Elephas maximus indicus: one gene and its partner. The protein of the gene in region 2 interacts with the protein of the main gene of each other region in a pairwise test. Links are inferred from orthologs where the notes say so. Each region holds a gene or a part of one and is shown on either strand. Other genes may lie near its edges. The genes, in order: NUP58 and ABI3.

What was found.
Region 1: the proteins of ABI3 (region 2) and NUP58 interact in binary tests that used the Homo sapiens proteins (3 or more experiments, as listed by UniProt). The two-hybrid records come from large-scale screens. The link is inferred for Elephas maximus indicus from reciprocal best matches to the Homo sapiens genes ABI3 and NUP58.

What each region holds. Positions count from the first base shown.
Region 1 is NC_064841.1:56,588,710-56,592,624, forward strand, and holds the start of NUP58 (nucleoporin p58/p45), read left to right. Parts: upstream 1-1,038; 5' UTR 1,039-1,225; coding exon 1,226-1,332; intron 1,333-3,915. UniProt on the Homo sapiens protein: Component of the nuclear pore complex, a complex required for the trafficking across the nuclear membrane.
Region 2 is NC_064837.1:44,355,372-44,359,286, reverse strand, and holds the start of ABI3 (ABI gene family member 3), read left to right. Parts: upstream 1-1,744; 5' UTR 1,745-1,919; coding exon 1,920-2,036; intron 2,037-3,915. UniProt on the Homo sapiens protein: May inhibit tumor metastasis. In vitro, reduces cell motility.

The DNA of each region.
Region 1 (3,915 bases), on a different chromosome or scaffold from region 2:
CAGTCTCAACCGGAGAAAGTGTTGCATTCACGGCAATTGTGAGAGAGGAGGTTGTACAGCTGGGTCGTGTTGAGAACTTTGCGTATTAGACTAAGGAGCCACTGGGAGTTTCTGATCAAGCGACTGCCATGGTGGCAATTATATTTTAGAAGAACAAATATGGTGGTTGCTAATGGGACGGATTTTATGGAAAGAGAATTTAGGTAGGAAAACCATTTGAGGAGGCGAAGGTAACAATTCGCGATGGAAAAAGAGACCCACATTATGACGGCGGAACCTCTATTGTACTATTGCTGAAGACTTCCCTGATCTTTCCCACAGAGGAGATATCTTCTTGGAACCCACAGTTTTCTGACGTTGGTCACGTAACTCTTAAATTTTACCTTACGTCATACTTGTCTGTATAGTGTTTTTCTCCTTTGCAGCTGTATAGGCCCTTTAGTAGGTAGCACAGAGGATATCGAAGCGGCGTCCCGGTTGGCTCTAGCTCCTACTATGCTGACACTACTGGTTGACTTGGCTAAACCATGAGCTACAGGGCCTTGGACAGTCCGTTTCCTCAGCACCACGAACAGAGCCAGCGCCCACACCTCCATCGGGCCGGTCCTAAGCCCTGTTGGTGACTGCCGTGTCCGACTATACGAAACGGTCCGCGCAAGCTATTGAGCAGAGTTGAAGCTCAGTGCGTTGAAGGGATGGGTGAATTATGATTTCCGAAATCGCTGACAGCGGTCAGCCAGTTCGCGGCCTTTGTCTCTGTAAAAGGAGGGACTTGGAGATGCTCTTTAGCGCCCTTCCCAACTCCGGAATTCTGCACATCCAGTAGGGAGGACATAAGCAATAATTGAGACGCCAAACTACAAAGTACAGACTGAGTCAGCACAGATACCAAAATAGAAGAACTAAATAAAAAATAGAAATGATTATTGGCTTTTAGTTTTTACTGTGGGCGCCTGCCCCTTTAAGGAAGTCGGTCGCGCGCTGTCCCAGCGTCCCTTGCGACGCGGGCTCGCTCCCGGCAGTGCGTGCGAGCGGCGAGCGACGCAACGGGCTGGTGCGTGCGTTGCTCCACCCCTTCGGCCTTGTCTTGGCCGCCGTTGGGGTGAGGTTCCCGCCAGGTTGGAGCTGGCGTGAGAGATGTCCTCCGCTCCGCCGCGGCGGTGAGGCGTGAGGAGCGGTCCCGACTCTTCCGGGTTGCCAACGGCCCCGGGCCCAGGGTGCAGCCATGTCCGGCGGCTTTTCCTTCGGAACCGGGACCCTGGGCTCCACCACCGTGGCCGCCGGCGGGACCGGCACGGCGGGCGGCTTCTCCTTCGGGACAGGGGCGGCTAGGTAACCGCGTGTACTCGTTTTTCGGGCCCGGGTCTTCGCCGGCGGGTTTCCCTGTTGGTCCCGACCCTCTCTTCCCGGTGGCTTCCTTCCCTGTGGGCTTACAGATATGCGCTTGCCGGGCCACCCGCTCGGTAGGCCGCCCGCTCGCGGTCCAGCCCGAGCCGTGCCCCGGCCTGGCAGGGAGGAGGGCGGACGGTCTGTGAGGTCTCCAGGATCGCGGGTGGTTCAGGCTTTGTTCCGACCGAGCGGGGCCTGGCTGGTTGACAGGGCCTGGGGTTCACAGCCCAGAGCCTTAACGAGGCGTCAGTCTTCAGGCATGGGATGAAGGTTGAATGAATGAATGAAATTACGGTTTATTGTAGGGTTTGACATGAAGATCTTTAACGAATGGAAATTGGTAAGGAGAACAATTAAAAGCGTCTTTCCGATAATTCAGATTCCACTGCAGTGTTACGGTTTTGGATGTTACGGTGCTTTAATGATTTCGTGGTTATTTTTAGCGAGCTTTTTAAGTTTTTTTTTTTTTTAAGGCTTTTTGCAGTATTTATTGGTGATAATTTTGTACGGTATGTGGGGAAATTGGAATATTTGACTAACAGTATCACGGCCTGTCACGTTTCATCATTGAGAACAATTTTCTCTCGATCACCAACGTATTGTAATTTCCCACATTGCCTTTCACTTAAATTGCAAAGCGTAGGTGACATATTCAGCGTTTTCTTGCAACCTGCGAGGACAGGTGTGACAAAAAGACAACTAGCAGAGGTTCGCAAAGATACAATTAAAACGGTGAAAGATGATTTTATGATGAGAGATTTAGCCCGTAGGCCTCAATCTTTTGAAGGTAGAGGCAGAGGAGTGCATAAAATGAAGTATGCATAGCATGAGCTACAAGATAACTCCTGGAGCTTGAAGGATGTGGTTGTAGGTTAAAAAGGCAAAAATATTTTGGGTTACGTGTATTTAAGGAGGGGGGAGTGCACCCCAGACTACACAGCCAAGATTAGAAATCTGGGGGTTTTCCTCTTTTTCTGGCACTCTATGCACTTAACCAGCAAGTCCTGGTGATTTTACTTCTGTGATTTCCGTTTTTTGTGCATTGCCAATGCCACCGTCCTGCTCCACGGTGTTGCATTCATAGAACAAATACTTACTGAACAAATTTCTATGAGCCAGGCTTTGTTTTAGGTGGTGAGATGAATAAGATTCTTGCTCTACTTAAGATTCCTGCCAGCTTTCCAACCAGCAACCTTTTTTTTTGCTAGATGAAAACTGCACCTGTATCTCCTGCATCAGCCTTTTTGCCACATGTAGCCAGAGATTTTCATTTTAAATGCGCTTTGCTACCTTTCTGTGATTTTCCATTACCCTTAAAATGAAATTAAATTTTCTTTTTCTTTTTTTTTTTTTACCATAGTCTACGAGGCCTGAATAATCTGGAATCCCTTTACTCATCTTGAACCCATCTTCTCATTTTAGTTTGCTCCCATTCATTGATCCAGGACCACTGTAAAAAAATAACATTTACATTACCACCCTGCTGGTATATACTGAGAAAGTGCTTGATGTCCAAAACCTCTTTATTGAGTAAAAGAATGATTAATATCTATTTTTTACTAACTGGAAACTTCCTGAGGGCAGGGTCTAATCTTATTTACCACTCCATCCTCAGTTCTCATGATGGTGTCTAACATATGAAAAGAGGTTTAATAAATACTTGTCAAATGCCTAAATAAATGAATTATTTGGTAATAAACTAGAAAAATCTACACAGGCTTTAAAAGGATTTGAATAAATTAATGACAGAAGACCTCTGCCCGTTAGAGTGCTAGATTGGAGACCTGACAGCTCCTGGTGCCGCTTGGTGATTTTGTCTCTTTCGGTAAGTCATTTTGGGTGACTTACTCTCCTGGCCTCAGTTCCCACACCTGGAAAAGGTGTATAATAACATACTTAACCTCAGAGGGTTTTTGAATGAGATAAAGCATGTAAAGTATCTAGCATCATGTACGTGCATCTTGGTAAACCAAGAAAACCAGACCCGTTGCAGTGGAGTCGGTACCAACTCATAGTGACCCTATAGGACAGAGTAGAACTGCGCCATAGGGTTTTCAAGGAGTGGCTGGTGGATTCGAACTGTCCACCTTTTGGTTAGCAGCGAAACTTAACCACTATGCCACCAGGGCTCTGCATCTTGGTAAGTGTTCAGTAAATGTTAGCTACTGCTTTTACTTCTAAGTCCACAGTTAATGTACTCTAAACTGAAAACCCAAACCTACTGCCGTTGAGTTGATTCAGACTCATAGTGACCCTATGAGTAAAACTGCCCCATGGGGTTTCTGAGGCTGTATTTGTTATACAAGCAGACTATCACCTCTTTCTCCTGCAGAGCAGCTGGTGGGTTTGAATCACCAGCCTTTTGGTTAGCAGCCAAGCACTTTAACCACTGTGCCACTAGGACTCCTTTAAGGCAGGCTGGAGAAGTTAAAATATCATTTCTGACTAGATGGAGTCAACTTTGCTTTTCCACAGTAAAAAAAAAAGTGAAATCACTGGCAGATAATACTGGGTCGAGGCAATAAT
Region 2 (3,915 bases):
GCGCCTAGTCTGATGCGGGAGGCACGATCTTTGCCCTAGGCAACTTGTCTAAGGAGGAAACAGGAACTCAGAGCATGAAAAAGGAAGAGAGAAGGAATTTCTTTCAGTGAGGAAGATTTGGAAAGCCAAGTTATTGTTCCATACAATGACTGGGGTACAAGTTTTCTTTGTCCCCAGGTCCTTGCAGAGGAGAGTGTACCCTATGCTTAAGAGAATGGGCTCTGAAACCTACCAGACTCCAGTTCTGACCTCAGCTCTGCTGCCTCCTGGCTGTGTGGCCATAGGCAAGTCCCTCAACCTTCTTGAGTCTTACTTAGTTTCCCCATCTGCAAAATGGGTATAATACAGTAATAGCACCTATCACATGATTATTGTGAACACCAGAAAATATAATGCATATAGCTATTTTAATTCACTACCTGGAACATAATGCACACTTAATACATTTATCATTATTATTACTGATATCATTATTACTACAGAGTTATCACTACGGCCTGCCTAGGGCCTAACCTCAAGAATTCTAAGACTAGATCCCAGCCCAGTGCAACCTCAGCCCCTCTCACCTGCCAGGAAAGAGAGTACGCTTCCAAGTTCACTTGTGCTGGACCCAGACAAGATGGTGTTTGAGCTTCCTAGCTCTTCCTCAGCAGCAGAAAATCTTCGGATAAAGCAGATGGTCTGGAAGCCAAAAGCTCTGATGCCTAAGCTGATCAGAGGCTCAAGATTCTAAGCCCAGCCATCACCTGAGCCTCCAAGCCCTCCCTGCCACTGGAGCAGAGATGTTGAGGTTCTTCCCACTGTAAGCTGGGAAAGAGAGGCCACCTCCGATCTCTCTGACTCTAGCCCACCTTCTTATCACCCTGCCCCCTGCATCAGCCACCATTGCCTTCAATGATGTCCCTGGTTCAGAACCCCCAACCCGTTGCCATCTAGTCGATTCCAACTCATGGTGACCTCATGTGTCATAGAGTAGAATTGCTTCATAGAGTTTCCTAAGCTATAATCTTTCTCCCATGGCACTGCTGGGTAGGTTCGAACCGCCAACCGTTTGGTTAGTAGCCAGGTGCAAACTGCTTATACCACCCAGGAACCCAGAGCTCCCACCATTCTCATTTCCCCAAACCCCACCCTCCAGCTCTCCAGGCTCCCCTCCTCCTGCCTTGTCCCCCAAACCCTCCCCTCCTGATCTGCTTTTGTAAAGATTATAGCCTAGGAAACCCTACAGGACAGTTCTACTCTGTCCGCTATGAGCTGGAATCAAATGGACAACTCTTCAGAGGCTTGATAACACTTCTCAGGGAATCTCTTGGTGTGTCCTTCCTGTGTCCAACCCTGATTCCTCTTGCTGCTGCATCATTGTTTTCCACTGGTGGGGCACCGCCACTCCAAGTCCCCCACCAGCATGACCAGTCTCCATATCCTATCCACCCTCCACTACCCCCTCCCGTGGTGAATCATCCTGGAGCTTCCCAAGGAAGCTCCCACCCTCTGCCCTTCCTCCCCCTTCCCTGAGTGGAAAATCCAGCTCCACCCCCCATAGTAGGTCAGCCCCTTCCTCCTCAGTTCCCCACCCCATCCCCCCAGCATCCAGTTTCCTCTCCAGGACCTGGGAGCAATCACAGCTGCCCTGGCCTTGGTTTCCTCTGCTGGGAAGAATTGGGAGGCTGGGCCCCCAAAGGGGTCCCTGGCTTCCCCTTTCCTCTGGGCAGGGGACAGAGAAGCCCAGGCCCAGGGAGTAGGGACTGACTTCCTCTTGTCCCGGAATGAGCCTCCCTGCCCTTTGCAAGCAGGTTTGGGTCTCTCACACAGAGGAAACCAAAAGCAGTAAGAGGGAGGGGAGACGAAGCAACCAATCAAGGGCAGGGTGAAGCTCAAAACCAGCGGGCTCCCCGGGGAGCAGCCAGAGGCTGGGGGCCATGGCGGAGCTGCAGCAGCTGCAGGAGTTTGAGATCCCCATGGGGCGAGAGGCTCTGCGGGGCAACTACAGCACTCTGCTGCGGGTTGCCGATTACTGCGAGGACAACTATGTTCAGGTACGTGGGGCAAGCACAGGTGTGGGCACCCCAGCCCTGGGAGGTGCCCCAGGGCCCACCCCCAGGGCTGGGCCATGGGAGCCAGCTTGACAGGTGCCGGAGAGGGCTCAGCAGATGTGCTGGGCTTGGGCTGAGAAACCTCCCAAGCCAGGCTTTGGCATCATCCCTTCTCCCAAAACTCTAACCCTGACCCATGCCACCCAAAACCCCTGCTGTGTCCCTTCTCCTTCCCAGAGCCTCAGAGATGCCAGGGCCAGAGCTATTCCATCCTGGTATCCAGCTTCATTGAGGCTTATCTCCCTCTTACCCTCCCACCCTCCCACTCAAACCCAGAGAACCTGTGGCACCATCATTCCATTTTCAGGCTGGCTGTAGGAGATACTTTGGAAGAACTTCCCAACCATTGTAGTGAACTTGAGATGGACAAGGGAAAAGAGGACTGGAGTTCTTTCCCTGATATCTTGAGGGAAAGTTAAGAGATGTCAGACTAGGCTAGGGTAAAGAGGGCTGACACAGAGGCAGGGGAATGGACAACATGACTTCTGGAGCAGGCTACCAGCAAAAGATGAGGATGTGACATTTTAGAACAGTTTTTTAAAATTGTGTGGTTGTCCCAGGACTGAGAATGTAGATTCCTGGATCTATTATTGAGCGACTCTGTTATTTCATTGGCCTTTATAACTACCTAGTGAGACAAGTAATGTTATTCCGATTTTATAGATGAGGAAAGAGCAGCTCAGGGAGGTGAGGTGACCTGTCCAAAGTCACACAGTGTGGAAGCACAGAGTGGGCATCAGCCCAGGCTCCCTGATTTCTGAAGTCTAGCCCTTTCCCTGACATGCTGTATGGCTTTAAGACAGTTATTTGCCCTCTCTGTCCTCAGTTTCCTCTGCTCTCTTAAGTGTTACAGGCATAACCTGTTACAAAAAAAAAAGTTGCCGTCATTTCTAACTCATGGCGACCCCATGTGTTGCACAGTAGAACCATACTCCATAGGATTTTTTGAGGCTGTGACTTTTCAGAAGCAGATTGCCAGGCCTCTCTTCCGAGGTGTCTCTGAGTGCTTACGTGTTTGTGCCACCTACCACTTGGACAAAATTTCATTTTTCTAGCCTGGACTAACCCAACTGTGACAAGAGGCACAGGGACCTCCCAACACAGTACATGTTGAAAAAAAAAAAAAGAGCAAGAAAATGGCAGATTAAATAGAGCCAATCAGAATAACATTTACAATGCTCTGTGCCCTTGCTTTGGGACAAGCAACATTCCCTCTACTGCCTCAGTCAGTCCTCACCCCAGTCCTGGGAGGTAATACCGTCCCATTTCTCAAATGAGGAAGCTGAGGTTTACAAAGACCAAGTCACTTTCCCAAGGTCTCCAAGACAGTGGCACAGCCTGGTTTCAAACCCAGAAATCCAACTCCAGAGCCCACCCGCCAAATCTCTGGCTGAAAATGCTACCCTGGGTATAATTCTGGTCTGTGTAGACAGTGAGTGACCACCTTGTAGATGAGATGGAACATAGCTTACACACCAGCTCTGTTCTCACGGCCCTGGAAAGATATGCTCCTACTGTCAAAAGGATAAAAGCAGTCCCTTCCATTCCTTCATAGTCCCTGGGTGGTGCAAATGGTTAACATGCTCAATACAAAGGTTGGAGGTTTCAGTCCATCCAGTGGAACCTGGGAAGAAAGGCCTAGCAATCTACTTCTGAAAAATCACCCACTGAAAACCCAACGGAGCACAGTTCTATTCAGACACACACAAGGGTCGTGAGGAGTCAAGTCAACTCTATGGCACCTGGTTTGGTTTATGGTTTGGTTCCATTCTTCAATACCTTCTGCAAATCTCAAGGTGTCTGGATTTGCTCTCATCTGCAC